3 linked regions of the Stegostoma tigrinum genome follow. The main gene of each other region encodes a partner of the protein of the gene in region 3 in a complex. Links are inferred from orthologs where the notes say so. Each region holds a gene or a part of one and is shown on either strand. Other genes may lie near its edges. The genes, in order: rubcn, pdzd8 and ras-related protein Rab-7a.

Region 1 (10,703 bases), on a different chromosome or scaffold from region 3:
GTCATTGTGGCACTGGAGGTGGCCCAGGATGGACGTCACCCAGAAAGTAGGAGTTAAAATGGTTTGCAACCGGAAGGTATCATCATTTGTCAAGAACAGAGTGCAGATGCTCTACGAAACTGTCTCAGAGTCTACGCTTTGTCTCAACAATGTACAGGAGGCTACATCGGGAGCAGCAGATACAGTAGACCAAGCTGGCAAACGCGCAGGTGAACACCCATCTGATATGAAAGGTTTGTTTTTGGCCTTGAATGGAGGTAAGGGGGGAGATGTAGCACTTCCTGCAGTTACAGGGAAAGGTGCAGGGTGCGGTGGGGTTAGTAAGAAGTGTTGAGCTGACGAAGGAGCTGTGGAGTGAGCGGTCCCTAGGAAAGGTAGATAGGGGTGGGGAGGGAACTCTGTTTGGTCGTGGGGTCAGGTTGTAGGTAGCTGACATGGTGGAAAGTGATACACTGGATGCTGCCTGGCCTGCTGTGTTCCTCCAACTCCACACTGACTGCTGAGAATTATGGACAATACAAGCTTTTGTTTAACAAGAGTTTTAAAGCAGAGATAGAGAGACTGGGACATTAAGATTTTGAAAGAGAATTCAAAAAGCAATAACCTGATGCATGAAAAAGCACATAAGTGATGGAGGAATGAAGTATATAAGCAGTAACATAGGCCTGAATGCTGACATATGATAATGAGGCTATCAAGGATTTCCAAGAATAAGGGCAAATATTCCCAAATTAAAAGTCCAAAGAGTACAGAATCACAGGAAAGTATCACAAATACAGAGATTATCACAATACAAAGATTTCAGTAGTGATAGATGCAGGTTATAACACCCTGAATTAATTACAATTCAGAGTGGAAGCAGGGAGACCTGTGAGGTGAGTGCAAGAGAAAGTCAGCATCAGCCAATTACATCATAGGAGTCAACATTAACTGAAAAGATGAAGATTAGACAAGGAAGTAGATGCAAAGGAAATATACTATTAGAGAAAAAAAAACGTGAAGGCCCTTGTCAAAACAGATGTCGTTTGGCTCATCCAAAATGATGTTCAACTCGCAATGGAGGTTCAAGCGATAACCTTGAAATCGAGACACAGTAGAAAGTTAAGGCAGCTTTGACTGCGCACAAGGAAATCTGATTTCTGTTTCTGCACAATATTGTTAAGTGACAGTACATAATATGCAAATAAAGTAGATCAGACTCAAGGGTACACTGCTGACCGTGTTACGCAAGGGAGAGGATTGTTCTGAGGGCATACAAAAACTGAATTCTTACTGTATAATAAGGAAGTGTGACCAATCATGCAAGCAGTTGGGGAAATCAGCAGAACAAGCAACAGAAACAGCTGCAGATTATACAAGAAAGGGCTGAGTGGTTCTGAGCCACTCTGGCTTCAGTAAGTTCAAACTCTGAAGAAAAAAAACTGTACCAGGGAAGCAGTCAGCCATTTAAGAACATGGCAATAATGTGCATGCCTTTGCGCCAGCTATATAAATTATTTTAAGACTAACACATACTTCAGCTAGAGAAAATTACCTTTTATATTTCCTGTGGTTAGAAAAATGAATTGAGCATTGCAAAGAAATGTCGGTCACAAACTCAAAGTTACTAGATCACATTTTATACAAAGTTGTCCAAATACGCTGTTCTGCCCTTTCTTTAAAAAAAGCTACTTAAAAGGCAAAAAACACAAGGGAAGATATCTGGACAAGTACAATGATTCAATAAAAATAGACTGCACTTAGCTGACAGGAGCAGGGTAGACTAGGTAGGACTTGAAAGGACTCAAAAGAACAGCACATAATAACATATTAGTGCAGCTGCTGGAATCTGTACTGAAAACAAATATGTAGTGGAGATCAAGTCAGGCAGCATTCGTGGAGAGAAAACAAGCAAACATTTCAAGTCCAGATGACTCTTCATGCTGCCTGACCTGCTATGATCTCCACCACTTGTTATTTTCAGAACAGAGCAACATCAGTTGTTACAAATAAGGTGACATGTACCAAAGTAAAGAATTAGAACAAACCAGCTTCACAAAGTGCTGGAAATGTGGGGTTCCTCTCCATGATCCTCCAACAATATTTAGGTGCTAATCTAAGCAGAAAAAAATCATACTGCCAGAGACACGATAATGCAGTTGCAAAACTAAATAAGGGGACTGGAATAAATTCTGTATCTTCTGTCAAAAGGACCCGAAAATAACTAAAGAAACAACAGAAGAGAAACTGGAAACAAGTAAAGTAGGCAAAACACTTTCGCCACCAGAAAGTAAATCCAAATGGAGCACAAACTACACCAAAGTTCACTGACTGTAAATATCTTATTACTAAAAAGGGCAGCCTTATTACAGTTTTTATTAGCATTAGTCTACGCATTGTACAATGAGTAACTCGGCACTACAAATTTGCTCAATTCAAAATTGAATGTTCAATTAAAACTGTCCGTAGAACTGGTGCAGAAAACTGAAAATATTTAATTCATGCTCCTGAATTATTCCATTCGAACCCAAATCAACATTTCATTTACAGCAGCATACTAATATCAACAATCACACTTAAAAGCAAGAAAATCTGTTCAAGAGGAAAACAACTGCCACATATGGGCCACGATATTGTCCTTCTCAGGGCAGAAGTAGAGCCTGCACGTTCCTCTCCAAGCCACCCGCCGCTCATTAGTGATTTTATTCATCAGACAGGCTACTGAGTACAAGAGTTGGCAGGTCATGTTACAGTTGTATAGGGCTTTGGTTCAACGACATTTGGAATACTGCGTACAGTTCTGGTTGCTACATTACCAAAAGGATGTGGATGCTTTGGAAAGGGTGCAGAGGAGGTTCTCCAGGATGTTGCCTGGTATGGAGGGTGCTAGCTATGAGGAAAGGTGGAGTAGATTAGGATCATTTACATTAGAAAGACAGAGGTTGGGGTGGGGGGGAACCTGATTGAGGTCCATAAAATCATGAGAAGTATAGACAGGGTGGATAGCAAGAAGCTTTTTCCCAGCGTGGGGAAGTCAATTACTAGGGGTCACGATTTCAGGGTGAGGGGGGAAAAATTTAAGGGAGATATGCATGGCAAGTTCTTTATGCAGAGGGTGGTGGGTGCCTGGAACATGTTGCCATGTATCTAGACAGATACATGAATGGGCAGGGAGCAGAGGGCTACAGATCCTTGGAAAACAGGCGACAGGTTTAGTTAGAGGATCTGGATCAGCACAGGCTTGGAGGGCCAAAGGGCATGTCCCTGTGCTGTACTTGTCTTGGTTCTTAGCACATTCTGATTTGGAAATTTTTCAGTGTTCCTTGAGTGTCACTGGGTTAAAAAAAAACAGAATTCCCTCCCTGACCATTGTGGGTCAACCAACAGCACATGGGCTGCAACAATTCAAGAGGCAGCTTATCACCACCTTCAAGGGCAACTAGCGGTGGATAATAAATGCTGGCCAGCGATGCCCACATCTCAAGCTAATCAAAAACAAAAACACACAGCTCGAGTACAGGTAAAGGGATCAGTGCTGAAAATGAAGATGCAGTTTTCGTGGAGGGCACCACTCATTTTGCAAATTAGACATATCCAGAATACATGTTTTGAGTTGCAACGTGACTGCAAAATGGTGAGCTGTAGCACCTTCATTAGCATACTCCTGCCATCAACCATATGAAAGAACAATCATCTGTCCTTACTCCCTGTACTAATTTAAAGGATTCAAATCACAGACATCTATCTGCCTTTATGCCTTCAACTTTTACTACGCACGTACAGAAAAATTCTTCACTGACCTAACACTTAAAAATTAAAATACCTTTACATTCATACACACAAGTCTCACAATTTGTAAAAACTCAGTCTCACTTTGCAGATCAGGTCACTAACGTGCTGTGAATTTGTCCATCAAGACAACTGACATATTCTTTCAGGAGCCTAGTAATGCCTTTCAGAAATACCTATCGTTACAGCAGCCTCCACCCCATCATTACAAGTAAGTTTTTAAATAAATTGTAATTGTTAACTAGGCAGTCTTCAACAGTGTATCACCAGAGTCCTGTACAAGATTTGTTGTCATCAAAGAGGCAGAGGTTAGCCCCACCCCAAACTGTAGTCAGGAGCTGCCAGTTAACAAGAAACTCAAGTCGAGGGCACTGAGATAGAACATAGAACATTACAATGCAGTATCAGCCCTTCGGCCCCTCATGTTGCGCCGATCTGTGAAACCAATCTGAAGCCCATCTAACCTATATTTTTCCAATATTATCCATATGTTTATCCAATGACCATTTAAATGCCCTTAAAGTTGGCGAGTCTACTACTGTTGCAGGCAGGACATTCCACGCCCTTACTGCTCTCTGAGTAAAGAACCTACCTCTGACATCTGTCCTATATCTATCACCCCTCAATTTAAAGCTATGTCCCCTCGTGCTAGCCATCACAATCCGAGGAAAAAGGCTCTCGCTCTCGACTGTATCTAATCCTCTGATCATCTTGTAGGTCTCGATTAAGTCACCTCTTAACCTTCTCTGTTTGGCCACAGCAGTCTCAGGCTATTACCTGCACTCTGCCTCCTCCGCGCTCTCCATGTCCTGGTGCCAATTATTCTCTCTCCATGTTGACAACATGTCACCACCAGCTCAGACGACTCTCTGGGTATTCCCAGAGATGCCGATTTTCTGCGTCGCGGCTTCTCAAATTCCGTCACAGCGCATCGGAACCGCACCCCGAAGCTCTCAATGTCGCAAGCAGCGACCCATAGGCTGTTTTCCCGCGGCCACTCCCTCCCGCGCCTCCTCTCTCTCACACACACACACACACACACACACACCACGTGATACCACGCTCTGAACCGCCCCAGTAACCGACCCGGAAAGCAGTTCGTGCCAGGCCCCACCTCCAGCGCTGACATAAAACGCCGCCTCCACGGATCGCGGCCGGAACCTCACCTCCAACCGGATACCAGCTAATGCCACTTCCTGAACATCTAGCAGATACCAGCCGGTCCCTCATCCTGAATCGGACCCCGCCGCACACCAGCTAATACCGTCCCCCGATACGCGTGTAGAGCGCCTTGCCTTCAGGCCCAATCTCTCACATGGTAACCGCTCAGGATACCAACCAGCTGGCTTCAGCAACTGCTCCGCCTCTCCCTTCCACTGGCGCGAACCTGTTTCGCTGTGTGTTAGACACCGGCTTCCGGACACAAACATGGCCAACATGCTGTATGAAGTGTGCCATTCGTATCTGACGGGGCTAATATGGACGCCGTTAACAGATAGGTTTAAACATTCATTGAGCTGTAGGCTATAAACTGCGCATCACTCACTTTTAACTGCCTGAGACTATTAATAAAGCGAAAACTCTTGAACTAGATGTCTTGATTGGCAAACTGAAGAATGCAAAATCATTCAACCGCAAGAATGTGCTGCATCATCCAAATAAATTATGGCTCATCTTTAACTGATTTTTATCCACGTTCAGTTCTTGACTGATGTTTTTGATAGTTCAAGGCTATTGCTCTAAGGTTTGAAATTTTCGATTAGCTACCGTCCACACTCTTGAGTAGGGGAGAATTCTAGAACTGTTCCTTGTGTGAAATAGTCAAGCCATTAACGGTCAAATCCAAACCTACCATAGTTCTTATTTTTTTTCTATCAAATGCCAGAATGGTGTGGCTCAGTGGGTAGCACTGCTGCCTCACAGCATCAGGGACCTGGATTCAATTTCACCCTCAGGTGATTGTGTGGAGTTTGCACATTCTTCCCATGTCTGAGATAATAAAATGTGAGGCTGGATGAACACAGCAGGCCAAGCAGCATCTCAGGAGCACAAAAGCTGACGTTTCGGGCCTAGACCCTTCATCAGAGATTTCGAGATGCTGCTTGGCCTGCTGTGTTCATCCAGCCTCACATTTTATTATCTTGGAATTCTCCAGCATCTGCAGTTCCCATTATCTCTTCCCATGTCTGTGTGGGTTTACTCCCACGGTAGGTAATGGGGGATGAGCCTGGGTGGGATGCTGTGAGGTTTGATGTGGATTTGTTGGGCCATAGGGCCTGTTTCTACAGTGTAGGGATTCTCTGAATTTATAGAACATAAAATACTATCCAGTTCAGCTGTTCCCTGTGTAAGGGTGTAATCAAAATGGAATAGGTGAAATTGTTGAAGTTGAGCTGTAACACTGCTGAAGCAGAGGGCTTACTTGTACACTGGGTAACATGTCTGTCTTCAGCCAACTGCAGAATAGATGGAATGTAACTTATTAACATTGGCAGAAAAAGAAGGCAGAATTGTTTTTAAATGGTGAGAGGTTGGAAAGTGCTGTGCAAGAGGATCTGGGTGTCCTTTTCCTTGAGTCACTAAAATCTAGCATGCAGGTGTGCATGTAATTATGGAGGCAAATCGTACGGCAGTCTTAATTTCAAACAAATTTATGTATAGAAGAAAAGATATCTTGCTGTACAGAACCTTTGTGAGACCTCACTTGGAGTATGATATACCATTTTGGTTAATTTAACCAAGGAAATATATGCTTACCATGAATGGAGGGCAACAAAGGTTAGCCAGAGTAATCTTTGGAACAGTGGATTGCTTTATGAGAGATTGTGGAAACTGGGTCTATATTCTTGAGTTTCAAACAATATCTTTTGTCCTCATGTTAAATTCTACGACTAATTTTTTAACTTCTCTGAAATGTACTTTCCTTTCCTTAAAAATGCAAAATATCCTTCAATTCGAATTCTACTTACTATTCAACCCTTTTTCACTGGCAAATGAGTTCTCATTAACTCTACAGAACTGCTATATGTTTTCCTTTGCCATTCTTCCAGTTTCAAATGTCGTGCTATTATCTCAAACACTTGTGCTTTTCCAGCCCTTGCTTTTAATTTTAAGTTCAAATTGTCCACCCATTCTAATTACCTTGACTTGGAAGATTTATTCCTGCGAGATTAGAAAAAGTAACCACCTCCAGACAGGTCTAAACAAATGCCTATGTTATTTTGACATAGTGCACAAGAAACTGGTATTTCCCTTTATCCTTCGTATTCCTACCCACTTCCAGTTGAACATAGTCTGCACTAGATGTCACAAACTCCCACTTTTATGTTGTGACAGAGAGGGGAGGAGTGCACGGTCATTCTTGTCTCACTACTCCAACAGTCACAACATTAAATAAAAATATTTAACCAAATTCCCAAAATAGCTAATGTTAGCCTTTCTCTATATTGGACTTTGAACAATAAGACCCATCGAATAGACTAAAACAATTGCAGATGCTGGAGATCTAAAGCAAGTGTAAACAGAAATTGCTGGAGAACGTCTGTGGAGAGAAACAGAGTAAACATTTTGAGCCTAGTGATCCTTTTTCAGAACAAGCAGCAGCTGGTAAAAGGTAGCATTTATGCCTCACCCAGTGGGATACTACCATCTGACTCCACATCTAAAGGATCAAGAGCTGCCATTTTTGCCTACCCTGGAAGGATGCCACCACCAGACACATATTCCCCTCCCCTCATTGGTCAACATCCTGCAGGGACCACTCGCTCTGGGACACGCAGGTCCACTCCAGCACCGCCCCACATCTTCCCATGCAATTCCATGCCAACTTTTATTTTTCAGGCCCTTGCAGTGCTCTGGCAAAGTTCAGCCCACACTGAAAGAACAACACCATCTTCTGTTTGGTATCTTAGCCTTCAGGATTCAACGTCAAATTTAACAATTTCAGACTATGAACACTACCTTCCTTCTTATTACCTATCTGTGCAACCCCAGATTTATTTCCAACACAGCCAATTCGTTTTCATCTACTCATAGTTCACATCATCACTTACCTACCTTCTCATCTTCCTTGGCTTACTATCAACAATCCCTTTCTCTGCCCACCCTTTATTCCCTCTCTCACTGGGCTCTATCTCTATGCATTTAGTCATTCCTTCCCCCAGCCCTGTAATCATCATAAATAACACCTTTTCCTAGCTGCTTCTACTTCTGAAGGAGGGTCACTGGACTCTAAATGTTAACTCTGTTTCTCTTCACAGATGCTGCCAGGTCTGGTGAGTTTCCTTGTTTCTGTTTGTTAATTATCTTAAAAACAAATTCAGTGATGATACAGAATTGGTTAACACTTACAATTCGTAACATGAAAATAGAAATGTTACCCCTCCAAGTCACCCAAATCATACACACACACAAACACACACACTTCCAATAATGGGGGAAATATGTTTCTTTCTCCAATGCTTCACATTTTAAAAAAACTTTCTGGACGATGTTGCTTATTCTTGAAACTGAATGGATAAGGCATGGATATTCCAACAACTGTGATTAAATCACTATTCGTGCATAGATGCAGCCCAATGGTATCAAAGTGGATTTCATTAGCTTCAAAATCTCCCCTTCCACGAATGCATTCCCAAAACCAGCCCAGCTCGTCTCCACCTCCCTAACCTGTTCTTCCTCTCATCTATCCCCTCCTCCCACCTCAAGCCACACCTCCATTTCCTACCTACTAACCTCATCCCGCCCCCTTGACCTGTCCGTCCTGCCCAGACTGACCTAACCCCTCCCTACCTCCCCACCTACACTCACCTCTACTGGCTCCATCCCTGCCCCTTTAATTTGTCTGTCTTATCTTCTTGTCTATCCATCTTCGATCTGCCTCCCCCTCTCTCCCTATTTATTTAAGAACCCTCTCCCCCTCCCCCTTTTGTGAAGAAGGTTCTAGGCCCGAAACATCAGCTTTTGTGCTCCTAAGATTCTGCTTGGCCTGCTGTGTTCATCCAGCTCCACACTTTGTTATCTTAGATTCTCCAGCATCTGCAGTTCCCATTATCCCTCTCCAAGCTGACTTTTTTGACCAGATTTCTAGTGATTTGACCTAATATCTTATTATGTGGCTAAGTGTCATATTTTGTTTTATAATGATCCTGAGAAGGGACTTGAGGTGTTATATTACTTAAGGAATGCTATAAAAATGTTATTTCTGTAATAAGTGTTGCAAAAGAAAATTCCAAGTTTCTTCAATGTTCATGAGTAGAAGTTCTCCTAACTTCAGTCTTGAAACATCGATGGCTCATTTCTTAGCACTGCTGCCTCACAGTTCTAAGAATAAAGGTTCAACTCCAGCCTCAGGTGACTGTCTGTGTGGAGTTTGCACAGTCTCCTTGTGACGGGTTGGTTTTCTCTGTGTGCTCCAGTTTCCTCCGACAGCCAAAAGATGTGCGCCTTAGGTGGATTATCCACGCTGGATTGACCATGCTAAATTGCTCAAAGTGTCCAAGGATGTGTAGGCTAGTGGATTAGCCATGGGAAATACAGGGTTACAGGGATAGAGTCAGGGTCGGGTGGATCTGGAAGTGATGCTCTTCAGAGGTTCAGAGCAGACATGATGGGCCAAATCTCTGTTACCACAATGTAGGGATTCTATGATTCAGTGCGGCTTCAATTTTTAGACTCTGTTTCCTTGTCCTAGACTCCCCAACTAGCAACATTAATTTATATATTTACCCCACAGATTCCCCTGAATATATCAAAAAATTTAGTGACATCACCCCACAGCCTTCTAAACTACAGGGAGTACAACGTTAGTTTGTGTAATTTCTCCTCGTAATTGAACTAATGGAGTGCAATATGAGGTAAATTTACTTCATTCAAAGCTAATCTGTTCTTCCTAAAAATTGGTGCTGAAAATTGAACACATTTTCCAGGTGTCCTCTATAACTTATGTTTTGTATTATGATGTAAAGTGTCTGATTGTAAACAAGTTTCGGGGTTTGGATTTTAAAATAGTGATGACGGTTATCCTAGTTTCGGTTTGATGCAGATGGTGATATATTACCAGCTTTTCTAAGTCAAGTTATGTGAATCGTAAGTTAATAACTTTCCAGAACATCTTAAATGTAGTTAAATGTGTATTTTAAGCATGCATCTTTCATTGCTTGCTCATGCTTCATTGTTGACGAGCCAAAATCCTGGAAGATCCTTCTTACTCTCACTGTGGGTGTCCCTACACCCAAGCACTAAAGTGGTTCAAGAAGATAGCACACCACCACATTTTCCAGGTCAAGTATGGATGGCCAATAAATGATGGTCCAGCCAGTGATTTGCAAATTCTTTGAAAAATTTCAAAAACTATACAACTTTTTTTGAATGCAAGTCTGCACTAGTAGGTGGTGACAATAAGAGAAAGTGTGGAGAGGGGGAGCTGAAGGAGTTATGCCAGGATCTCCAACAGTAGGCAGTAACAGTGAAGCAAGACAGCTGGAGGAGTTCAACAGTTCCTTTTTGGGGAAATCAAAGGTGTGTTCTGGAAAAGAGGTCTCATGGGAAGGAGGAGCAGACAGACAAAAGGTTTCTTTATCAAAAGTAAACCTCAGGTTTCATTCCATCTAAATACTGCAAATACTTACTTCATTAACCCTAATCTCCCTTCACGTTTGTGATGACTGATGCCAGTCAAACAAAGAATCCCTGATTCACGATCTTTGGGTTTGTTGTCATAGTTAGCAGAACTCCACAGCACCGGCATCAGATCATGGTGGATGAAGTTGAAAGGCTGGCCAGCCAAGGTGGAGTGGATGGTGGAGGAGTTGAAACTGGTAATGTGTATGAGGAAAGCTGAAGCTACTCCAGGATTACTGAGGACTTAGGTATTGGCACTGAGTATCATAGCTTTAGGCTAAAACCAGATATGATATGTTCAGAGACAGTGGGAA
Region 2 (10,245 bases), on a different chromosome or scaffold from region 3:
GAATCAACAACCTACTTTACATACAAACTGATTTCCTTGAAAGGAACATTGAGCAGAGTGTAATCTTCTGATTTCTCGCCACACATGGAGATTTTCCTGCAATTTCTGTTTTTTTATAAAGGGGACATTGGTTTGCTTTTTCACATTTAGCACTCCTGTCAAAGACCACTCCCCTCCCACACAAAGTGTTTACATTTTATATGGAAACAAATAGCTTACATTTTGAACTTAAATATCAAAATCAAACATTTGCTTGTTCTTGAAAATCTTACATTTTCAATCAATGAATCTCAGCAATGACCTGTCAGTAGACACTCAAATACATCCATGTGATTTTTTAAAAAATCCATTTCAAGAACCAATCATTTGTCGCCTTCACGTTATTGAGAAGCAATTCATCTCCCAGAGCTATACCCTTTGCAAGTCAAGACAAGGTGGATTCCCCTTGGGGTGCATTAGTAATAGCACAGGTCTAAATAGAAAAAGAATCCCTGTTTTATATCTCTCGTGATAGAAGCATGCAGGTGCAGGGATGGTTTTGTTATAGAACGGTTATGTCCAAATAAACAGCGCATAATATACATTAAAAAAAATTATAAATTACCAAGTTGTTTAGTATTTCACTATTTTAGGTTTGACTAACTCACCTTTTGTGGGAACACTAGATTCAGTCTAGGCTGGCTCTCAGCTCGATAATAGTACTTATTCCACTATCCAATCAGTCCCCATAGGTGGTTGAATTGAAAGAGTGTCAGGATACCAGTAGACAAACAGGAATGGGAGCGGAGTTAGGCCATTCGGCCAATTGAAACTTCTCTGCCACTTGATCATGGCTGGCGTGTTTTTCAACACCATTTTCCTGCCTTCTCCCAATAACCCTTGATCCCCTTACAATTCAAGGATCTATCTACCTCTGTCTTAAACACACTCAATAACTTGGCCTCCAAAGTCTTCTGAGGCAATGAGTTCCACGGACTCACCACCCTCTGACAAAAGAATTTCTTCCTCAGTTCTAAAGGGTAATCCCTTAACTCCTAGGCTATGTCCTCGGATCTTAGTCTCTCCGACTTGTGGAAACACCGTCTCCATGTTCACTTTATCCAAGTCTCTAAGTATTCGGTAAGTTTCAAATCAGACACTGCCTCATCATTCTAAACTCCATCAAGTACAGAACCCAGCATCCTCAACCACCCCTCAAATGACAAGCTCTTCATCCCAGGATCAATCTTATTAAATTCCTCTGACCCCCTCCAAGGCCAGCACGTCCTTTTTTAAATATGGGGCCCAAAACTGTTCACAATATTCCAAATGCAGTCTGAATAAATCTTCATGCAGTATCAGCAGTACATCCCTGCTCTTGTATTCTGGCCCTCTTGAAATGAATGCTAACATTGCATTTGCCTTCCTAACTGCCAACTAAGCCTGCATGTTAATTTTAAGACAATCCTGAACTAGAATTCCAAACTCCCTTTGTGCTCCAGATTTCTGAAGCCTTTCCCCATTTTGAAAATAGTCTATGCCTATATTCTTCCGAGCAAGATGAATGGCCTCACACTTTCCCACACTGTATTCCAACTGCCACTTCTCTGCCCACTCTCCTAGCCTGCCTAGTCCTTTTGCAGCCTGCCCGCTTCCTCAAAACAACCCACCCTCCAACTACCTTTGTGTCTTAGCAATAATGCCTTCAGTTATACCATTTATCAAATAAAGAACTTTTGTGCTGCATTCAGGCATGTTTAGAATGAAACAAACTGCACCAGCTGAAGTCCCCTTCAAATTATTTGATCTAAACCTTCCATCTAATCATTTGTTAATAACTTCTGGCTGCAACGATTTTGGCATCCTTTCCCAGTTATCTATAGTAAAGAATTACTTCTTGATGTCTGCACTAAAGATGCCCTTCACAACCATGAAATTATGTTTGATTCTTTTCTCTGACAGCGTTGTTTCAGATTTACCTTCTCTCAAAGTATAAGCTGTCCCCATATCAATTTCAAGGCTAAAGGGTCCTACTTTAAATGGATTTTTGCAGCTCTGAAGCTTCACAGCGAGGATCAGCAGCATTCCTCTTCCCTTTAGTGTATCTAACATCAGAACACGTCCTTCATGCCCTGGACATCAGAAGTGTCTACAACAACAGAATCTATTTAGGACAAGCCACAGATTCAACCTACCTAGAGAGGAGTTAAACTCAATCCCATTTAAGCAATATAATCCTGCATCCTTTTTACTTTGTTTATTGCAATTCAGTGGTGTAGTATTCAGATGAACTGTAATGGTAAAGTCAGCATCGCTCCAGAGGACATGGCTGCTCTCATTTGGGGGGCGGGGGGGGGAGAAGAGAGAGAGAGAGAGAGAGACACCAAAGGTTACCATGCCTCAGGCAAGATTGAAAAGGCAGGGTCTTAATGGCAACCTTCGACGGTAGGGAAATTGAACTCGTACTGTTGGAATCATGCTGCATAACAAGCCAGCCAAATGAGCTAACCTACAACAGTTCAGACAAATGATAAGACAAACAAAACACTCCAGCTGCCTCTCCTCCCACCTCTCCAGCCCTAAGTTGTCACAGTGCTTAGACAAGTATAATAAAGTAATCTATTTCAACCTGCACCTGGTCTGCCTCACTCACGTAATATTAACTTCAAAGATGCAGCATTTTGAGTGCCTGAACTGGAACTTTTTCCGATAAAGCTCCCCTGACTATAATGAATCAAGTGGACAGAGAAGCTGATGGTAATAGCAACCTGCGAACTGCAGTTAACAACATTTCCGATAATATACAAGTTACACAGCAAAACATGACATCACTATAGAGATGGCCATGAGTCATAATACACAGCAATGGAAAAGGTTGCCTTATTATTGAGGTGCATTTGGATTCCTTCATTTTGAGCAACCCCTCAATATCAAGAAGCTCGACTGAAAAAACAGCAGTGCAGCGATAATGTCAGTCAACTAGTAATCAAGAGACTCAGGCTAATGGAAACTGGTGGAATTTAAATATAATTCATAAAATTTGGAATTAAAATCTGGTCTTAATAATGGTGACTATAAAACTAATAGTACAAACTCCATCTAACTCTCAATCATTTAGTAAAGGAAATCCTAATGTCCTTCCCAAGTCTGGTAAACATGTGAGTTTTGATCCAAAGCAATATGATTGACGGTTAACTACCCTCTGAAGCGCACTTGTGAACAACAAATGATGTAATGATGTCAAAATCCCAAAGAATCAAAATATCATTGAGTGCAGTGATAAGCACGGCTGTTTCACAGCGCCAGGGCCCTAGGTTCGATTCCAGCCTTAGGTGACTGTCGGTGTGGAGTTTGCACGTTCTCCCAGCGTCCACATAGGTTTCTGCACATGTTCTGGTTTCCACTGTGGTCACTGGGTTAGTGGCCTGCAACTGTCTTTCTAACAACACTGTGGGCATACCTATTCTGTGTTGATTGCACTGGATCACGAAAGTGGCTCCCATGGGCACGGGTAAGACATGCTGGACTTGCCAGAGATACTTCCGTCTCACGAATGTTTCCCTTTTAAACCCCATAACACAGCAGCCTGGTAAAAATACCTTTTGTAACTTACAGATTGTGCCAAGAGATGACTAAGGGGCGCAAGCAGCATGATGCAGTAAGGACTCCATTAATTCTGATTTGGGTATTGCAGAAAGTTGCAGCTAGGATAATACCACACCGTACCTCACCGCCATCTCCGCCACCCACACACCCCCAAACAACCACTCACAAACAGACACAAAGAACACAGTTTAAGCCATCTGTCGCTGACTGTGACTATACCTGATTTTGTAGTTGGGTAAAGTATGTTTGCGCTTGATGACTCTCTTGAGCTGGTTGACAATGATGGTAGTGAGCTGGGGCATGGGCCGACCCTCGAACTGCGACTTGACCTCGAAGTCGATGAAAGGTTCGTCCATGAAGGCGAAGGACCAGTGAGTGAAAGGGCGGCGGGTGAACTGCAGCCTGAGGCGGCCCACCACCCTCCTCATCTTGACGAAGAGGTAAGCCGACTTGCCGAAGACCAGGTCCACGTCGATGGCCAGGTGGAAGCCGCCGTTGTACTCGAGCTCCAGCTCGAAGTTGAGCTCCTCGGGTATCCCCCCGGCGGCGGCGGCAGCGGCACCTCCAGCGGCCTCCTCCTCCAGGGAGCCGGAGCCGGAGCCGGGGCCTGGGCCTGGGCCGGGATTGGGGCCCACGACCGGCTGCAGCAGGCGCGCGCTCTTGAAGACGGGCAGCGCGTTGCCCAGGGAGATGTCGCGCAGGCTGAGGCCCTCGAGCAGGCGGCCCGCCGTCTTGGTCTGCAGCAACTCCTCAAACTCAACCTTGATCTTCTTGGTCAGCCAGTGCCGGACGATCGGGGTGTCCCTCAGCTCCCGGAACAGAAACAAGAAGATGGCGTTGAGAAAGTGGCAGCTCTCGGCCGGAGGTTCCTTCCCGCTACTCAGGTAGTCCTTGAGCGAGGGCTCGACCACCGGCTTGACGTACTGCACATGCCGGGGCACCGGCTCGGGCTTGTTCCGATACAGCAATAAAATCTGCAGCAGGAGGACACACAGGGCTCCGGCCAGAGCTGACAGCAGCATTAAATAAATCATGGTGAAGAGAGAGAGATTCCTTCTTCACCTCGGGACCATGTTCTTTTCTCTCTCTGGGTCCTCCTGCTGATGTTCTCACTGCTCCGTGTTTACATGGCCCATCCCCGGCAATACAAATGAGATGAGCTGCTGGTGCTTCTTCCCCACTCTTCCTCCTTCCCCCGTACAGCGTGCACACGCAGCGCGCCCCCGCCGCAGCCGCAAAACCACGTTCCCCGCCGCAGGTTCCCCTGTGCGAGAGAGTGTGTGTGTGTGTGTGTGTGCGCGCGCGCGCGCGCGTGCCAATGCTCCCTTGTTCGGGCCGGACCGCCCACCAGCTTCTCCAACTCAAGGCAAAAACCACTTCCCTTTCCCCCTTGCTTTGGTGACCCACTCGGAATATCATCAGCAAAGCGGAGCCCTGTATTTCGTTTTGCAGTTCCCATTATCCCTGTATTTCTTTCTGTCTTTACCATAGCAGAACATGGTAAAACTTACTTCTATTCCCAATCAACATTTCTTTAACAATAAAATGAACATCTTTCTCTTTCCCATGATTGATAATTTGTTTAAAATGACTTTTGTTCTCAATCAACTTCTCCCGACCAATAAATCAACCTAATTCTTTAACAATAACATGGGCATTTTACTCAAAAGGTAAACGGAAGTTCCCAGCACCTCGAATAGTATTTCGGAATCTCGTTGAGTTTGGGGCCAGTCCCGAATCGGGAAAGCAGCAATGTTTTCCCCACTTCCCTTCGCCGGGAATGCGGCTTTCTAATATGGCCACATGTGAATAAGCTCTATCTCTGCCGCTGTAAACGTTGCAGCTCCCTCCCCCGCCACTAGCCTTTTCGACAGTGACTCCCAGATGACAATCTCCAGCTGACTTGCAAGTTGCAGCACAAAAAGCGATTACAGAATGCACTTTTATGAGGTTGATGAGAGCAAAGGGAAAGACCCCAGCATTTTAAATCTGCACTGTTTATTGTTATAAGTTTATGTTAACATAAGAGTAAAATGCTGGAAATCTGAAACGAAAACAAAAAGTGCTGACAAAATTCAGCAGTTCTGGCAGCATCTGCAGTGTCATATCGGATTCGAAACGTTGTCTCTGTTTTTCTCTTTCTGCAGATGTTGCTAGACCCGCCGAGTTCCTCCAGCAGTTTCTGCTTTTAATTTTATTTTACTATGTGAGACGGCTTTTTTTTCGGAAAGCTCTCTGCTTACACCTGCATTTCAATTGACGCCCCGGCGCTTCAATTTAAATTTTCAAAAATGCGTTTCTTTCTTAAGTTTGGAATATGACGTGCTAGCCACTGGATAAACGCACTTGCAACGGTTCTGAATCATCTAGGGTCTACGCAGTGACATCCCAAAACATAAACACGATTTTCTTGGAACTGCAGCCAGTTCAGTTTCTTTTAACTTTGGTGTGTTCAACCTGTGTTCTGGTGCGCGATTATTATCGAGTGGCAAAAGAGATGATTATAGGGAGGCTATATGAACTGCATCTTTAATCAGGTTATCAAACAAATGGTAACTTTTTTTATTCAGTCACGGGATATAGGGCATCAGTGGCTAGACTAGCATTTGTTACCCATCCCTAATTGCCCCGAGAAGCAGGTAGTAAATCATAGCAGCCTGTGGTGGGAAGACATTGGGTATACCCTCAGTGCTCTTACAAAGGAAGTCCCAGGATTTTAGCTGAGCATCATTGAAAGAATGGCAATGTAATTCAAAGTCAGGACAATTGGTGGTTTGGAGGGCAACTTACAAATTGCAGCCCTTTATCTCCGAGATCATAGAGGCCATAGGCGGCAGGGGAATACAGGTTGAAATATGCTATTGTAGTGCATCTTGTATATCCTTTATTTATTCGTGGGATGAGGGCATTGCTAGCAAGGCAGCATTTATTGCCCATCCCAGAGAGTAGTTAAGAGTCAACCACTTTGCTGTGGGTCTGGAGTCAGACCAAGTAAGAATGGCAGTTTCCTTCCCTAAAATACATTAGTGAACCCCATGGGATTTTCCAACAATGGACAATGGATGACAATGGTCATCATTAGACTCTTAATTCCAGATATTTATTGAATTCAAATTTCACCATCTGCCATGGTGAGATTCGAACCCAAACTCCCAGAACATTATTTGGGTCTCTGGATTAACAGTCCAGCGATAATACCACTGGGCCATCGCCTCCCCTAATATGTATGTAATGCTGCCAATTTTTCTGGTGCTTCTGTATCTCAATGCTTTAGACAGTGGTTTGCCTTGTCCTGGATAGTGTCAAGTTTCTTGAGTGTTGTTGGAAATGCACTCGTCCTGACACATGGGAAGTATTTCATCATGCTCTTGAGTTAAATATGGAGGACATGCTTGGGATTCAGGAGATGTGTTCACCAGCCTTTGAACAGCTATAGTAGTCATAGTATTTATATAACTGATCAATTTACATTCTCCAAGCTGTTGTTAGTGGGGGATTGATTAAATGTCATTGTGAGATGACTAGATTGTCTCTTTTTCAAAACGGCCATTGCCTAGTAGCTCTGTGGCACAAATGTTACTTGTCACTCATCAGTGAAAGCCTGAATGTTGTCCAGTAAACATGAACCCAAACTGCTTCAATACCTGAGGAGGCATAAATGGTGCTGAAAGTTCTGTAATTATCAACAAACATTCCTACTTCTAACCTCATGATGGAGGACAGATTATTGATGAGGCAGCTGAAGATATTTAGGCTTAGACACCACCCTGTGGAGCTCCTGCAGTGATAACCTGGGACTGAGACGATTGACCTTTAACAATGCTGACCATCTCACATTGTGCTAGATACTACTAAGCCAGTAGAGAATTTATCCCCTGATTCTCATTGGCTTTGTTTTGCTGGGCAGCCTTGGAGCCACACTAAGTCAAAGACTGCATTGATGTCAAGGGCAATCCCACTCACCTCACCTCATTTCTGGAGTTCACTTATTTTGTCTGTGTTTGGACCAAGTTCTAATGAGGCCAGGAAACAAGTAGTCCTGGTGGAACTCAGACTGAGCACCAGCAAGCAGGTAGTAATGGTGCTAGTGTTGTTTGATGACACTGTTGACAAGACTTCCCACACATTACTGATAATGGAAAGTAGACTGATCGAGCAGGAATTGACTGAATTGCATATTTCCTGCTATTTGTGGACTAACATACCAAGAGCTTCAGCAGTTCAAGAAAGCAGCTCACACCCCAGTACAATTAGAAATGGACAATAATGCTGACCTGGCCAGTGACACCCACTTTCTCTTCAAGCAATAACAAAGAAAAACATTCACCCTGTTGGATGGATACCACTGCTTTAGCTGAACTGGAAAAGCTTATCTAGGGGGACAGCAAGCTGGCCAAATGTTGTTAGGGTCTTTAGCCATTCTGTGCCAGCAAACATTTCTTAGTGTCATGTGCAGTTGGTGAAATTGTATGAAGACTGGCATATTACAAAATTGAAACACCTTCTTTTGAGGAGTTGTTTATTTCTGCTTCTCTTTAAAAAAAAAGAAAAATGTCTGTGATCCATACTTAGTGCATCACGGTGTGACTCTGCAGCTTTTAATGTTCAAGTACTTCAATCAGAACAACTTATTTTTCAGCTGCTACTTTACTTTGTGGAAAGAAGTTATGTATATTATATATATATGATATAGAGCTGGCAAAATTATTTGGGTCCTGTATATTCTTACTCAACTTAGGTTTAAATAATACACTCATGCAAAAGTTCTGTTTTGCCATTGGATTGCATTTGTCCTATTAATAATATGGATACCGCTCAGTAAATTATAATCAAACTTTGTTGATCAAATGTAAGATCCTCTAACGGGAGCTCTCTTCTCCAGATAATTTCCAGCAAGCCATTTTGTTCATTTGGATGCAGTTTGTGTTAAAATAAATTGTGAAAGTGTTATTGCAACATTCTTATATGGTAATGTCTGACAAAAAATTTGAGGTGATATTATTTAAATATTATTTTACCATGAAAAGTAGATTTTTATAGAATGCATGTAATCATGGCAATGATTTATTAAACAGACAGATTGCATTCAGTACCTTTGGAAATGTATTCAGCAAAAGGAACGTGAAATAACTCCACAAAGGCCAATACCCTGTCACCGAGTCATCCTTTATTTACACATACATAGTACGTGCCACTGACCAAGCTAGCTTAGAGCTGGCTCTAAGAGAGGGCAGGACCCCTGCCAGGGCTCCCTGATTGCACCAGCTTAACGACCCCAATCATGAAACTCATATTCTATGAGGTCCACTTGGCTGACCTTATTGCAATCACTACAGAATCAATTTTGGGAAAGGGGTGGTCAATGGCTTTTGTTATCTCTCACTCATTTCATGTACTTCCTATTTTATTAATCCTGACATATCTTTGGTCTGTATCATCAGATGTTTGCTCATGTCAGCAACAATATCATGTGCCATCCACTGAAATTTCCAATAGTCTGGTGGTATCTTCAGAGACAAACTCCTTTGATTTATTTGCATTAGCAATGACATTAGTGCATATTTTTAATTTACTATTGAAGTAAAATGTTTAATTATATTTGAGCATTTTGTTCTGAAGCCCTTTTTCCCAGGTTGAAAAACTGCAGTTTTACACAATGATCATTTTAAACAGTAGAAACAATATGAACGAGGGTGTCTTTAAATAAGTATGTATGTTTATTTGTGAAGATAACATAAACAGATTTCATGGAGTCATACAGCATGGAAACAAAGCCTTCAGTCCAACTACTTTAGTTTAAGATTATGTTCAGCATGGACTGGTTGGACCAAAGGGTTTGTGCTGTATGACTCTGTGATCCTAGGCCACGCAAGCCAAGTTTCCCAAACCAAACTATCCCACCTGTCTGTATTTGGCCCATATCCCTCCAAATCTTTTCTATTCGTGTCTGTATCCAAATGTCTTTTAAACGTTGCAATTGTACCTGCATCCACCACTTCCTCTGGCAGTTCATTCCACACATGAAACACTCTCTACGTGAAAAAGTTGCCCCCTCGTGTCCTTTTTAAAATGTTCTCCTCTCGCATTAAAAATATGTTCCCTAGTTAATAACTCCTCCACTCTAGGGGAAAAAGCAATTAACTTTATCTATACCCCTTATGACTTTATAAACCTCTACAAGATCACCCCTCAACCTCCTATGCTGCAGTGAGAAAAGTTCCAGCCTATTTTTATAACTAAAACTCTCCATCCCTGGCAACATCCTGATAAATCTGCTATGAACCCTCTCCACTTTAATGATAGCCTTCCTATTACAGAGCGATCAGAACTGCACACTGTTCCCCATAAGAGGCCTCACCAACCTTCTGTACAACCTTAACATGACACCCCCAACTCCTATACTCAAAGGCCTGAGCAAAGAAGGCAAGTGTGCTCAACACCTTCTTAATTATCCTGTCTACATGTGATGCAAATTTCAAAGAATTATGTTCCTGAACCCTGTGTTAGGTTTCTATTTTCTGCAACACTTTTCAGGGCCTCAGTGCAAGAAACAAAGTCTAAACCTAAAGATTACTAAATAGAAAACAAGTTATACTCCCTTATGATTTCCGAGTATAATGTTAGCTTCATCTTTAAAAGTACTTGGTTTTCTTCAGTTTG
Region 3 (11,215 bases):
CCTTACCCAAGGAAGGGTGTGGTGACACTGAAGCCAGTTCTGAGGAGGGTCACCAAGTTGATTCCAGGGATGAAAGGGCTGTCATACAAGGAGTGGTTGAACAGCTTGGCCTCATACTTGTTAGAGTTTAGAAGAATGGGTGGGGGGTGGGTGGGGGATCTTATTGAGGGATATAAAATGCTGGAAGGGGGTTTATCAACACATGTTCCCCTTGTGAAACTGTCTATAATAAGAGGTCATAGAAATAGGGCGAGAGGAGGTTTGCTCAGAACTGAGATCAGGAGGAACTACTTCTCTCAGAGAGTTGAGAATCTGTGGAACTCACTCCACCAGAGTGCAGTGGAGGTGGAATTAGATTTGAGAAAGAAATAGTTATGTTTCTGTTGAAAAGGGGGGACCAGGCAGGAAAGTGGAGTCGAGGTCAGGACAAGATCGGCCATGATTATGGTTAAATGGTGGAGTGGGTTTGAAAGGCTCAGTTACCTACTGCTGTTCCTAATTCCCATGTTCCTGTGACTCCCCCTCACCCGTAGTTAACAGGTCCCCTCAGCTGTGTCCAACCCATCTCCTGCACAACTGCCCTCACCCCTTTCTCTTCCCTCCCGCGACATCGTTAGGGTCCCCCTGGGGTCACCACCCCACCAACCTCCCCATCCAAAGGTTTGTTATGTGCTATTTCCATCACCTCCAGTAGGATGTCTCGACCAGACACATATTCCCCTCCCCTCCTTTGTCATTGTTCCGCAGGGACCCTTGTCCACTCCTCATCCATTCCCAACATCTTCCTCCAGCCCCATTGCACCTTCCCCTGCAATCGCAAAAGGTGTAAAGTCTGTCCATTTACCTCCTCCCTCCTACTATCCGAGGCCCCAGACACACCTTCCAGGTGAAGCAGCACCTGCAGTTCACACTATCTGGTCTCCTGTATTCGCTGCTCACAGTGTGGTCTTCTCTACACTGGGGAGATGAAATGTAGACTCGGCAACCACTTTGCAAAACACCCAAATTCTGTCCATAAAAATCTATCCAAGCTTCCAGGTGCCTGCCACTTTAACACACCACCCTGTTCACTGGCCAACATCGCTGTCCCGGGCTTGCTGCAGTGCCCCAGCTAAGCTCAGCACAAACTAGAAGGACAACATCTCAATTTCCGCATGGGGACCCTGTAGCCTTCAGGTCTCAGTAAGAAATTCAATAATTTTAGGGCCTGAGCACTGTCTTCAATGTCCTTTACCACCAGCCCCGCCCCCACACCCCCAGCCCTGTCATCACATGGGCTGCTTTCAACATAGCCAACCCATTTTCAAATAATCAGCAGCAGCAAATCTTCTTCTTGGGGTTTCATGTCAACAATCTTGTTGAGTGCCTAACTTTTTCTCTCTTTCTATCTCTCTCAGGACTCTGTTTCCACCTATCCGATCATTCCTTCCAAGGTAACAAAGTGTGGAGCATCTTAGGAGCACAAAAGCTGACATTTTGGGCCTAGACCCTTCATCAGAGAGGGGGATAGAACATAGAACATGGAACATTACAGCACAGTACAGGCCCTTCGGCCCTCGATGTTGTGCCGACCTGTCATACCGATCACAAGCCCATCTAGCCTACACTATTCCATGTACGTCCATATGCTTATCCAATGACGACTTAAATGTACCTAAAGATGGCGAATCTACTACCGTTGCAGGCAAAGCGTTCCATTCCCTTACTACTCTCTGAGTAAAGAAACTACCTCTGACATCTGTCCTATATCTTTCACCCCTCAAATTAAAGCTATGCCCCCTTGTGCTCGCTGTCACCATCCTGGGAATAGGGCTCTCCCTATCCACGCTATCTAACCCTCTGATTATTTTATATGTTTCAATTAAGTCACCTCTCAACCTTCTTCTCTCTAATGAAAACAGCCTCAAGTCCCTCAGCCTTTCCTCCTAAGACCTTCCCTCCATACCAGGCAACATCCTAGTAAATCTCCTCTGCACCCTTTCCAAAGCTTCCACATCCTTCTTATAATGCGGTGACCAGAACTGTACACAATACTCCAAGTGCGGCTGCACCAGAGTTTTGTACAGCTCCTCTACATTGGGGAAACCAAGCGGAGGCTTGGGGACCGCTGTGCAGAACACCTCCGCTCGGTTCGCAACAAACAATTGCACCTCCCAGTTGCGAACCATTTCCACTCCCCCTCCCATAACCTCTTGGTTCCGGAACTCGATCCCTCTATTAATAAAAGCTAAAACACTGTATGCCTTCTTAACAGCCCTGTCACCCTGGGTGGCAACTTTCAAGGATCTGTCTACATGGACACCGAGATCTCTCTGCTCATCTACACCACCAAGAATCTTACTATTAGCCCTGTACTTTGCCTTCCGGTTACTCCTACCAAAGTGCATCACCTCACACTTGTCTGCATTAAACTCCATTTGCCACCTCTCAGCCCAGCTCTGCAGCTTATCTATGTCTCTCTGCAACCTACAGCATCCTTCGTCACTATCCACAACTCCACCGACCTTAGTGTCGTCTGCAAATTTATTAACCCATCCTTCTACGCCCTCATCCAGGTCATTTATAAAAATGACAAACAGCAGTGGACCCAACACCGACCCTTGTGGTACACCACTAGTAACTGATCTCCAGGATGAACATTTCCCATCAACTACTACCCTCTGTCTTCTTTCAGCAAGCCAATTTCTGATCCAAACTGCTATATCTCCCACAATTCCATTCCTCCGCATTTTGCACAATAGCCTATTGTGGGGAACCTTATTGAATGCCTTGCTGAAATCCATGTACGTCACATCAACCGGTTTAATCTCATCTACCTGTTTGGTCACCTTCTCAAAGAAGTCAATAAGGTTTGTGAGGCACGACCTTCCCTTCACAAAAGCGTGCTGATTATCCCTAATCAGTTTATTCTTTTCTAGATGATTATAAATCCAATCCCTTATAACCTTTTCCAACACTTTACCAACAACTGACGTAAGGCTCACTGGTCTATAATTACCAGGGTTGTCTCTACTCCCCTTCTTGAACAGGGGAACCACATTTGCTATCCTCCAGTCATCTGGCACTAGTCCTGTAGACAATCACGAGTTAAAGTTCAATGCCAAAGGCTCAGCAATCTCCTCCCTGGCTTCCCAGAGGATCTGAGGATAAATCTCATCCGGCCCAGGGGACTTATCTATCTTCACCCTCTGAAGGATTTCTAATACCTCTTCCTTGTGATGGGGGATGGGGAGAGGATTCTGAAATAAATAGGGAGAGAGGGGGAGGTGGATTGAAGATGGATAGAGGAGAAGATAGGTGGAGAGGAGAGTATAGGTGGGGAGGTAGGGAGGGGGTAGGTCAGTCCGGGGAGGATGGACAGGTCGAGGGGGCGGGATGAGGTTAGTAAGTAGGAAATGGAGGTGCGGCTTGAAGTGGGAGGAGGGGATAGGTGAGAGGAAGAACAGGTTAGGGAGGCGGGGACAAGCTGGTCTGGTTTTGGGATGCAGTGGGGGGAGGGGACGAGCTGGGCTAGTTTTGGGATGAAGTGGGGGAAGGGGAGATTTTGAAGCTGGTGAAGTCCACATTGATACCATTGGGCTGCAGGGTTCCCAAGCTGAATATGAGTTGCTGTTCCTGCAACCTTCGGGTGGCATCATTGTGGCACTGCAGGAGGCCCGTGATGGACATGTCATCTAAAGAATGGGAGGGGGAGTGGAAATGGTTCGTGACTGGGAGGTGCAGTTGTTTGTTGCGAACCGAGCGGAGGTGTTCTGCAAAGCGGTCTCCAAGCCTCTGCTTGGTTTCCCCAATGTAGAGGAAGCCACACCGGGTACAGCGGATACAGTATAACACATTGGCAGATGTGCAGGTAAACCTCTGCTTAATGTGGAATGTCATCTTGGGGCCTGGGATAGGGGTGAGGGGGGAGGTGTGGGGGCAAGTGTAGCACTTCCTGTGGTTGCAGGGGAAGGTGCCGGGTGTGGTGGGGTTGGAGGGCAGTGTGGAGCGAACAAGGGAGTCATGGAGAGAGTGGTCTCTCCGGAAGGCAGACAAGGGTGGGGATGGAAAAATGTCTTTGGTGTTGGGGTCGGATTGTTTTGCGGCTTCAGTTCCCATTATCTCCGATCACTCCTTCCAACTTGCTCACGCCGAACCCGCCAGCCTCACTCAAGCCCTGTCATCAAAATAAGTAACACTTTCCCAGATGCTGAAGGAGATTCGCTGGATTTGAAACATTAACTCTGTTTCTCTCATCAAAGATGCCACCAGGCCTGCTGAGTTTCTCCAGCATTTTCTGAGTATGTTTCACATCCCTAGTGTCCGCAGTTCTTTGCTGAATCATTGCCTCCGTTGGCTCTTTTCCTTCCTAGTTCTAAATAGTCACATTATAAATCCTTTGTAATCCAGAAATGTCCATGCATGTCCATATTCCAATTCTAATCATTCACAAACTTATACATCCTAACAAACAGCACCTTTCACATCCACTAAAGTACTCAAAAAAACTTACAGCCAATGAAGTCTCTTTTGAGGTGATATAAGTGGGAAAGGAGCCAGCCAGCTAAATCCCTTTTTCTGGTTTTCGCCCAGGACCATTAGTGAGTTCCAGATATCTACATGCTCTCAGTGAAAAGCATTTTTCACAAATCCCCCTCTAAGCCTGCTTCTCCTTACATTACCTTAGCCAGTCCCACTTCTTATCCCTCTTCCACACACCAACTGTAACCTTCGATCTGATTTATTGCTGTCACATGTACCTAAGTACAGTGAGAAGTTTTGCTTTGCATGCAGAACTGGCAGATCATAACATACAAAGACATACAGATCATAGGGAGATTGAATACACGGAGGTGTACACAGTTATGGTTGCACAGGAAGTGTACAAAAGCAAGATTAACATTAGATGTGAAACTTGAGAGGTCTGTGCAGCAGCCAAATAGCAACAGGGAAGAAGCTTTTCATAAACCTGTTGGTACATGTGTTTAAACTTCTGTATCTTCTGCCTTACAGAAAAGCTTGGAAGAGATTATAACCAGGGTGGGAGGGATGGATAAAAGCATGGTCACGAGGAGCAGGAGTAAGCCATTCAGCCCTTCAAGTCTGCTCTGCCATTTAATATGATCATGGCTGATCCTAAATACCATGTTCCTGCTTTCTCCCCACATCCTTTGAAGCATTTAAAATCTAAAAATGTATCCATCTCTTTCTTGAAATATTCACTGAATTCGCCTCGAAAGCATTCTGTGGTAGAAAATTCCACAGGCTGACCATTCTTTGAGTGAAGAAATTTTTCCCCATCTCACTCCCAAACTGTGCTTGTAGTTCTAGACTCCCCAAACAGGGGAAACATTCTCCCTGCATCTGGTCTTTCTAGCCCTGTTAGAATTTTAGCAATCAGATTCCCTCTCATTTTTCTAAACTGCAGTGACAACAGGCCTAGTTGAGTCATCTCTCCTCACAGGACAGACTTGCTAACCCTGGTATCAGCCTGGTGAACCTTTTGCGCATTCCCGCTATTCTTTAGTAGTTATGGAGACACAACTGCATTCAATACTCCAGATGTGGTCTCACGTAGGCCCTGTAAGTCATTCGTACTTCTGAACCAAAATCCTCATCCATGGAGGTCAGCATACCGTATGCCTTCCCGTTTGCTGAACCTAGAATAATGGCGTTTTGACAGCACCGATAGAGGCCCTTGGGCCCATTTCGTCCACACTGGTCATCAAACACCAATCAATTCTAATCCCATTTTTCAGCACTTGGCCTGTAACCTTGAATGTTACTTTAGTTCTGAAGAAATCATACTAGGTTTGAAATGTTAACACCGTTTCTCTCTCCAAAAGTGCTGCCAGCCCTGTTGAGGTTCTCCAGCACTCAGCTCAGTTGGCTGGACAGCTGCTTTGTGTTGCACTAATCAGTGTGAATTTAACTCCCAAACTGTCTAAGGTCATCAAGGTCCTAAAATGCAACAAAGAACCACGGATGATGGAAGTCTGGAACAATTACAGATATTGCTGGAGAAACTCAGCAACTTCAGTTCTGAAAAACGTTCTCTGGACTCCAATGCTGCCAGAACAGCTGAGTTTCTCCAACACTTACTGTTTCTGTTTCGGATCTTTAGCATCCACAAATCTCTGTTTTACTATCAACACTCCCCAGCCCGTTTCAATGGTTTAAATCCTTAAGACCTGTCTTAAGATCACACTCGACTCCCCAGCCTCCCCCTCAACAGTAACGTGTCCCGCGTTTGGCAGGCGCTAGGACCCGGCAAGGTTGGTCGTACTCGAACCCGCCCCCACCCCCCACATGGCAGTCACGCAGCGGGCGGTCCTGCGGGGGTGACGCCATACGCCGAAACGTAATACGCGGTGACATCAGACGCAGGGTGCGGGTGATAAGCGGGGAGTCGGAGGCAAAGCTTCGACAGCTAGGAGCGGCCCGGCCCAGCCAAGCCAGTGACTTACCGAGCAAGACCGGCAGTAGGCCGCGCAGCTGACTTTTCTCAACCTCCCTTGCCCTTTCAGGTGAGTCTGACTCGGTGCCGGGTACTGGTAGGCCGCTCTGCCCGCGGGTGTAAAGCGCTTTTGGGAGAGGAGGAAGGAGAGAAACAACGGAGGCCTCGATCTCGGAGAGAGACACACAGGGCCCAGGGTCCGCCCAGCGGCCGCGCTCCCGGCCCTGCGCGCACCCTTCCCTAGCAACCGTCCCCGGGCTCTTCCTAGCAACGACACCCCCCGTGCTTGATGCCCCAGCGTGTGGGGAAAGCGGTGAGCCCTAGCAACTGCCCCCGGGCCCCTTGGCAACACCCCTGCGAGTGACAGGAACTCGCACCCCTTCAGGCCCTGGCAGTCCTGGCGAAGTAGCATCTGTGCTACATCAAATATACATTAGCATCCCGCTGGGGAGTTGTTCCCCTCCTTTCTCTTTCTAATTTAATAACCTGTGCAGCGCAAAACGCAGTATAATTACTGAATGACACGGTGTACGTGTTACACTTGCTTTCAGTTCTCTTCAAATGTGTTTTTTAAATGCTGGCTTCGCATTTTTCCGCTTAGATTTTGTGTGGATTTTTTAATTTCAGTGGGATGCATCTTTTATATTGTTGTGAGCGGCTTTCCCTAAAGCTAGGGCTAACACTAGATTTTCACGTAGCTGTCTGGGCTCTTTCGAGAACGCTATTAACCCCCCCTTCCAACGACAAGTGACGCTTGTTTTGAGCCGTCGCTGCTGTGTTGTATATGTGGAGAGCCTGTGGAAACTTCAAACCTGGCTCCTTTGTCTCTAGTCTTCGGGGTGACTAAGCTCTTTGAGCTGGTTTCACTTTTAATATCGCTAAAATTTTCATGTTTCTATTTAATGTTGCAGATAAAAGTATGTTGTGGCATTGTTTGCCAGTTTCAAGGCTTGTTGTTCAGGAAGCTCTGTAATAAATCGAGTGATTTGATTTTTGTTTGCGAGTAAAATAGGGTTTCTAAGACGCTTGTTTCTTCAGTAATACTTTCCTAACTAGAGCAAACGAGGCTTAATGCCACAGCACCACTCCAGTTGTAGTGTCTTATTTTGATCTAGTTTCTCGTCAACGCGCATTTAAAAATGCGACTTGCCTGAGCTGTCTGTATGATGGACAGCCAAATGATCTAACTGTGAACTGCATTGTTGTGAAACAGGTATCATGATGTAGTTTCTGTCCAATGGGGGGGTTGGGGGAGAGAGGTGGTGGGTGGTTGAGTTTGTAAATTGTTGCTTTTCTCGAAGTCCAAGAAACCTGCTCCTCGTGATTCTTACAGCTGATGAAACACATGACTTGTCATTGCACTCCTGAAAAACAGACATGAACACTTTATTTATATAAACTTCAGATGTTGCCAAGGGTGTTTTCTTGTGAACTGCCCCCTTTGGGCATATGTGGTGCTGCATCCTATGACATGATAAAATGACTCCTCCTTTTTACATGTGCTAGCTTGTCTTTTTCAATCTAAATACTTTAGACCTACTCAGATTCTTTTTCCAATGTAGAAATTGTCAGTGATTAAGTGTATGGTTTACTAAGTGTAACTGTATTGCTGCTCTGCCTGGGATCTCTTCTGTGAAGAGATTATGGAATAATGTTTCCTCAAGTTTGAGGTTGTGTAATCTAGTGGCAGGGTGTTTTTAGTTAGGGACCAATTGCTCAGCTTACTGGTGGGTTTTTCAGAACTGGGTCCTTTTTGTTATTGGAATGTTTAGGTCAGGGAGCAACATGGGACTTAATGAGCTGTAATATTGAAAGTGCAGTAATGGGAACTGCAGATGCTGGAGACGACAAGATGACAAGGTGTAGAGCTGGATGAACACAGCAGGCTGAGGAGCACAAACTGATGTTTTGGGCCTAGACCCTTCATGAGAAAGTGAGTTGGATACCTGACTTTCACCATGGATGTCCAGTCCCTGTACACTGGCATTCCCCATGCAGATGGCCTGAAGGCCCTCTGCTTCCTGTCCCACAGGCCTGACCAGTCTCCTCTCCTCCTCCTTCTTCCCCCCCCCCCCCCCGCCATCTAGTCAAACTTGTCCTCCCCTCAACTTCTTGATTCCTCCCACCCCCTACAGACAAAGGGGGTGGCCATGGGTACCCACATGGGCCCAAGCTATGCCTGCCTCTTTGTAGGTTATGTGGAACAATCCCTCTTCTGTACCTACACTAGCCCTAAACCCCACTTCATCCTCCATTACACTGACTGACTGCCTGCATTGGTGCTGCCTTGTGCCTTGAGGAGCTCAAACAGTTCATCCACTTCACCAACACCTTCCACCCCAACCTTAAGTTCACCTGGGCCATCTCCAACACATTGATCCTTCTCTTCTCTTCTTCCCCCCCCCCCCCAAAATCTTCCTGGACCTATGTCTCCATTTCAGGCATCACCTAGAAACTGATATCCATTTCAAGCACACTGACTTCCACAGCTACCTAGAATACACCACCTTCCTGTAAAAATTCCATCCCTTTCCCAATTCCTAAACCTCTGCCACATCTGCTCCCAGGATGAGGCATTCCACTCCTGTACACCTGATCCCTTTAAGGACTGCAACCCCCCCTCCCCTTGCAGTAGTCTCTAACACTGTTGACCACGTTTCCTGTAACTCATCCCCCCACCACACCCTGTCCCTGCAATAACTGCCAAAAGAGAATCACCCTTGTCCTCATGTACCACCCCACCAAGCTCCAAATCCAACACATCATCCTCCACTTCTGCCATCTGCAGTTGACCCCCAGCACCAAAGACATTCATCCATCCCTACTCTGATCTGTTTTTCAGGGGGACCACTGTCTGTGACTCCCTTGTCAGGTCCACACTCCCCTCTAGCCCCACCACACCTGGCACTTCCTCCTGCAACCACAAGAAATGCTACACTTGCCACCCCCCCCCCCCCCACAATCCCAGGCCCCTTTTCAACATCAAGCAGAAGTTCACCTGCACATCCACCAATGTGATATACTGCATCTGCTGTACCCGGTGTGGCTGCCTCTACATTGGGGGAACCAAGCAGACATGGTGGGGGGGGGGGGGGTGGGAGAGAGTGCGCATGTGCTGGTGTTGAAATAGCTCATGACCAGGAGGTGCAGTGGTTTATTGTAAACCTGAGCACATGTTCTGCAAAGCAGTCCCCAACAACATGTCCATCCTGGGCCTGCTGCAGTGCTACAACAATGCCACTTGGTTGCAGGAACAGCAGCTCATTCTGTTTGGGAACCCTGCAGCCCAATGGTATGTGGATTTCACAAGCTTCAATCTCCCCTGTCTCCCTAACCTGTTCTTCCTCCCCCCCCCCCCCCCGTGTCTCTCCTCCCACCTTGAGCTGAATTGCCACTTCCTACCTACTAGCCTCATCCCACCCTGTTGACCTGTCTGTCTTCCCCAGACTGACCTATCCCCTCCCTACCTTCCCCACCTGCACGCACCTCTACAGGCACCACCCCCACCCCTTTTAACTTGTTGGTCTCCTGTCCAACTATCTTCTCTATCATCTGTGATCCACCTCCCCTTATTTATTTCAGAACCCTTCCACCCCACACCCCACCCCCCACAATCAGTCTAGACCCAAAATGTTGGCTTTTGTGGTCCTTGATGCTGCTTGGCCTCTGTTCATCCAGCTCCACACTTTGATGCCCTCTAACCCATTAGAAGGAAGGTAATGCAGTCTAAAATTTCACTTTTAAAGTGAATCAACTGTGTATGATATCAGTAGGACTGGTTGAACATGAACACTGATCTAGAGCATCTCCCTCAGAGGAGGGCAGACTACTAAAAAACGTTTGAACTGTTAGATTTCTCAGTTGCTTGCCACTTCAAATGATATCATTCATGAGGACTGATGTAGAAAGGCTTGAGTGAAATGTGGTTGAGGGAGCAAGTGCAGGTGAGAATTAGTGGAATTAACTGCTATGAAGATCACAATAACTCATCACTTGGGTATCCAGTATGATTCAGCTGGCCTCTAGAGCAACTGTCATGGAACTGACTTCATCCTGTTTCCTTGTTGCTTCCAGCCATGACTGTTGTCCTGGTACTTGTCCTTCCTAACTTTCCAAAAGTATGAGGAATGAGATCAGCAATTTGGATATCTTGGCTAAGCCAGATGAAAGCCTAATTTCAGAAGGGAGTTGCTTTTGTTGGCCAGCATGGATGTTTTCACTAGGGGTTGAAGGGGTGACCTGGCCTTTAAAATTTAAGGCATGGTAGAGGGTGAGTAGTCTCTTTATCCAAGATAATGGGAACTGCAGATGCTGGAGAATCTAAGACAACAAAATGTGAGGCTGGATGAACACAGCAGGCCAAGCAGCATCTCAGGAGCACAAAAGCTGACGTTTTGGGCCTAGACCCTTCATCAGAGGGGGATGGGGTGAGAGTTCTGGAATAAATAGGGGGAGGTGGACCAAAGATGGAGAGAAGATAGGTGGAGAGGAGAGTATAGGTAGGGAGGGGATAAGTCAGTCCAGGGAAGACGGACAGGTCAAGGAGGTGGGATGAGGTTAGTAGGTGGGGGGGGGGGGGGGGGGGGTGGCTTGGGATGGGTGAGAGGAAGAACAGGTTAGGGAGGTGGAGACAGGTTGGACTGGCTTTGGGATGCAGTGGGGGAGGGGATGAACTGGGCTGGTTTAGGGATGCAGTTGGGGGAAGGGGAGATTTTGAAACTGGTGAAGTCCACATTGATACCATTAGGCTGCAGTGTTCCCAGGCGGAATATGAGTTGC

Evidence for each region.
Region 1: the proteins of ras-related protein Rab-7a (region 3) and rubcn are in contact, whole or in part, in a crystal structure (PDB 6WCW), measured with the Homo sapiens proteins. The link is inferred for Stegostoma tigrinum from reciprocal best matches to the Homo sapiens genes RAB7A and RUBCN. Residues at the interface, in NP_004628.4 of Homo sapiens: Ile41, Gly42, Ala43, Asp44, Trp62, Gln71, Ser72, Leu73, Gly74, Val75, Ala76, Phe77, Arg79, Ser101, Asp104, Glu105, Ile108, Gln109, Ser111; in NP_055502.1 of Homo sapiens: His818, Asn821, Met822, Lys824, Thr825, Arg827, Leu883, Gln885, Ala886, Lys887, Gly888, Phe889, Ile890, Glu892, Gln895, Glu897, Ile900, Pro903, Cys915, Lys916, Arg931, Arg934, Arg938.
Region 2: the proteins of ras-related protein Rab-7a (region 3) and pdzd8 are in contact, whole or in part, in a crystal structure (PDB 7F6J), measured with the Homo sapiens proteins. The link is inferred for Stegostoma tigrinum from reciprocal best matches to the Homo sapiens genes RAB7A and PDZD8. Residues at the interface, in NP_004628.4 of Homo sapiens: Lys10, Leu14, Asp16, Ser17, Lys38, Ile41, Gly42, Ala43, Asp44, Phe45, Gln60, Trp62, Gly66, Glu68, Arg69, Phe70, Gln71, Ser72, Leu73, Gly74, Val75, Ala76, Phe77, Tyr78, Arg79, Thr98, Ser101, Trp102, Glu105, Phe106; in NP_776152.1 of Homo sapiens: Ile999, Lys1000, Leu1001, Val1002, Arg1003, Lys1004, Glu1005, Gly1007, Leu1008, Asp1009, Asp1010, Phe1013, Ile1014, Lys1017, Gln1044, Leu1051, Asn1054, Asn1055, Val1058, Leu1077, Leu1084, Gln1085, Thr1088, Ile1092.

Annotation. Positions count from the first base shown.
Region 1 is NC_081367.1:48,820,743-48,831,445, reverse strand, and holds the start of rubcn (run domain Beclin-1-interacting and cysteine-rich domain-containing protein), read right to left. Parts: upstream 4,783-10,703; 5' UTR 4,614-4,782; coding exon 4,546-4,613; intron 1-4,545.
Region 2 is NC_081373.1:19,477,115-19,487,359, reverse strand, and holds the start of pdzd8 (PDZ domain-containing protein 8), read right to left. Parts: upstream 4,785-10,245; 5' UTR 4,620-4,784; coding exon 3,805-4,619; intron 1-3,804. UniProt on the Homo sapiens protein: Molecular tethering protein that connects endoplasmic reticulum and mitochondria membranes. PDZD8-dependent endoplasmic reticulum-mitochondria membrane tethering is essential for endoplasmic reticulum-mitochondria Ca(2+) transfer.
Region 3 is NC_081364.1:4,087,496-4,098,710, reverse strand, and holds the start of ras-related protein Rab-7a, read left to right. Parts: upstream 1-6,339; 5' UTR 6,340-6,506; intron 6,507-11,215.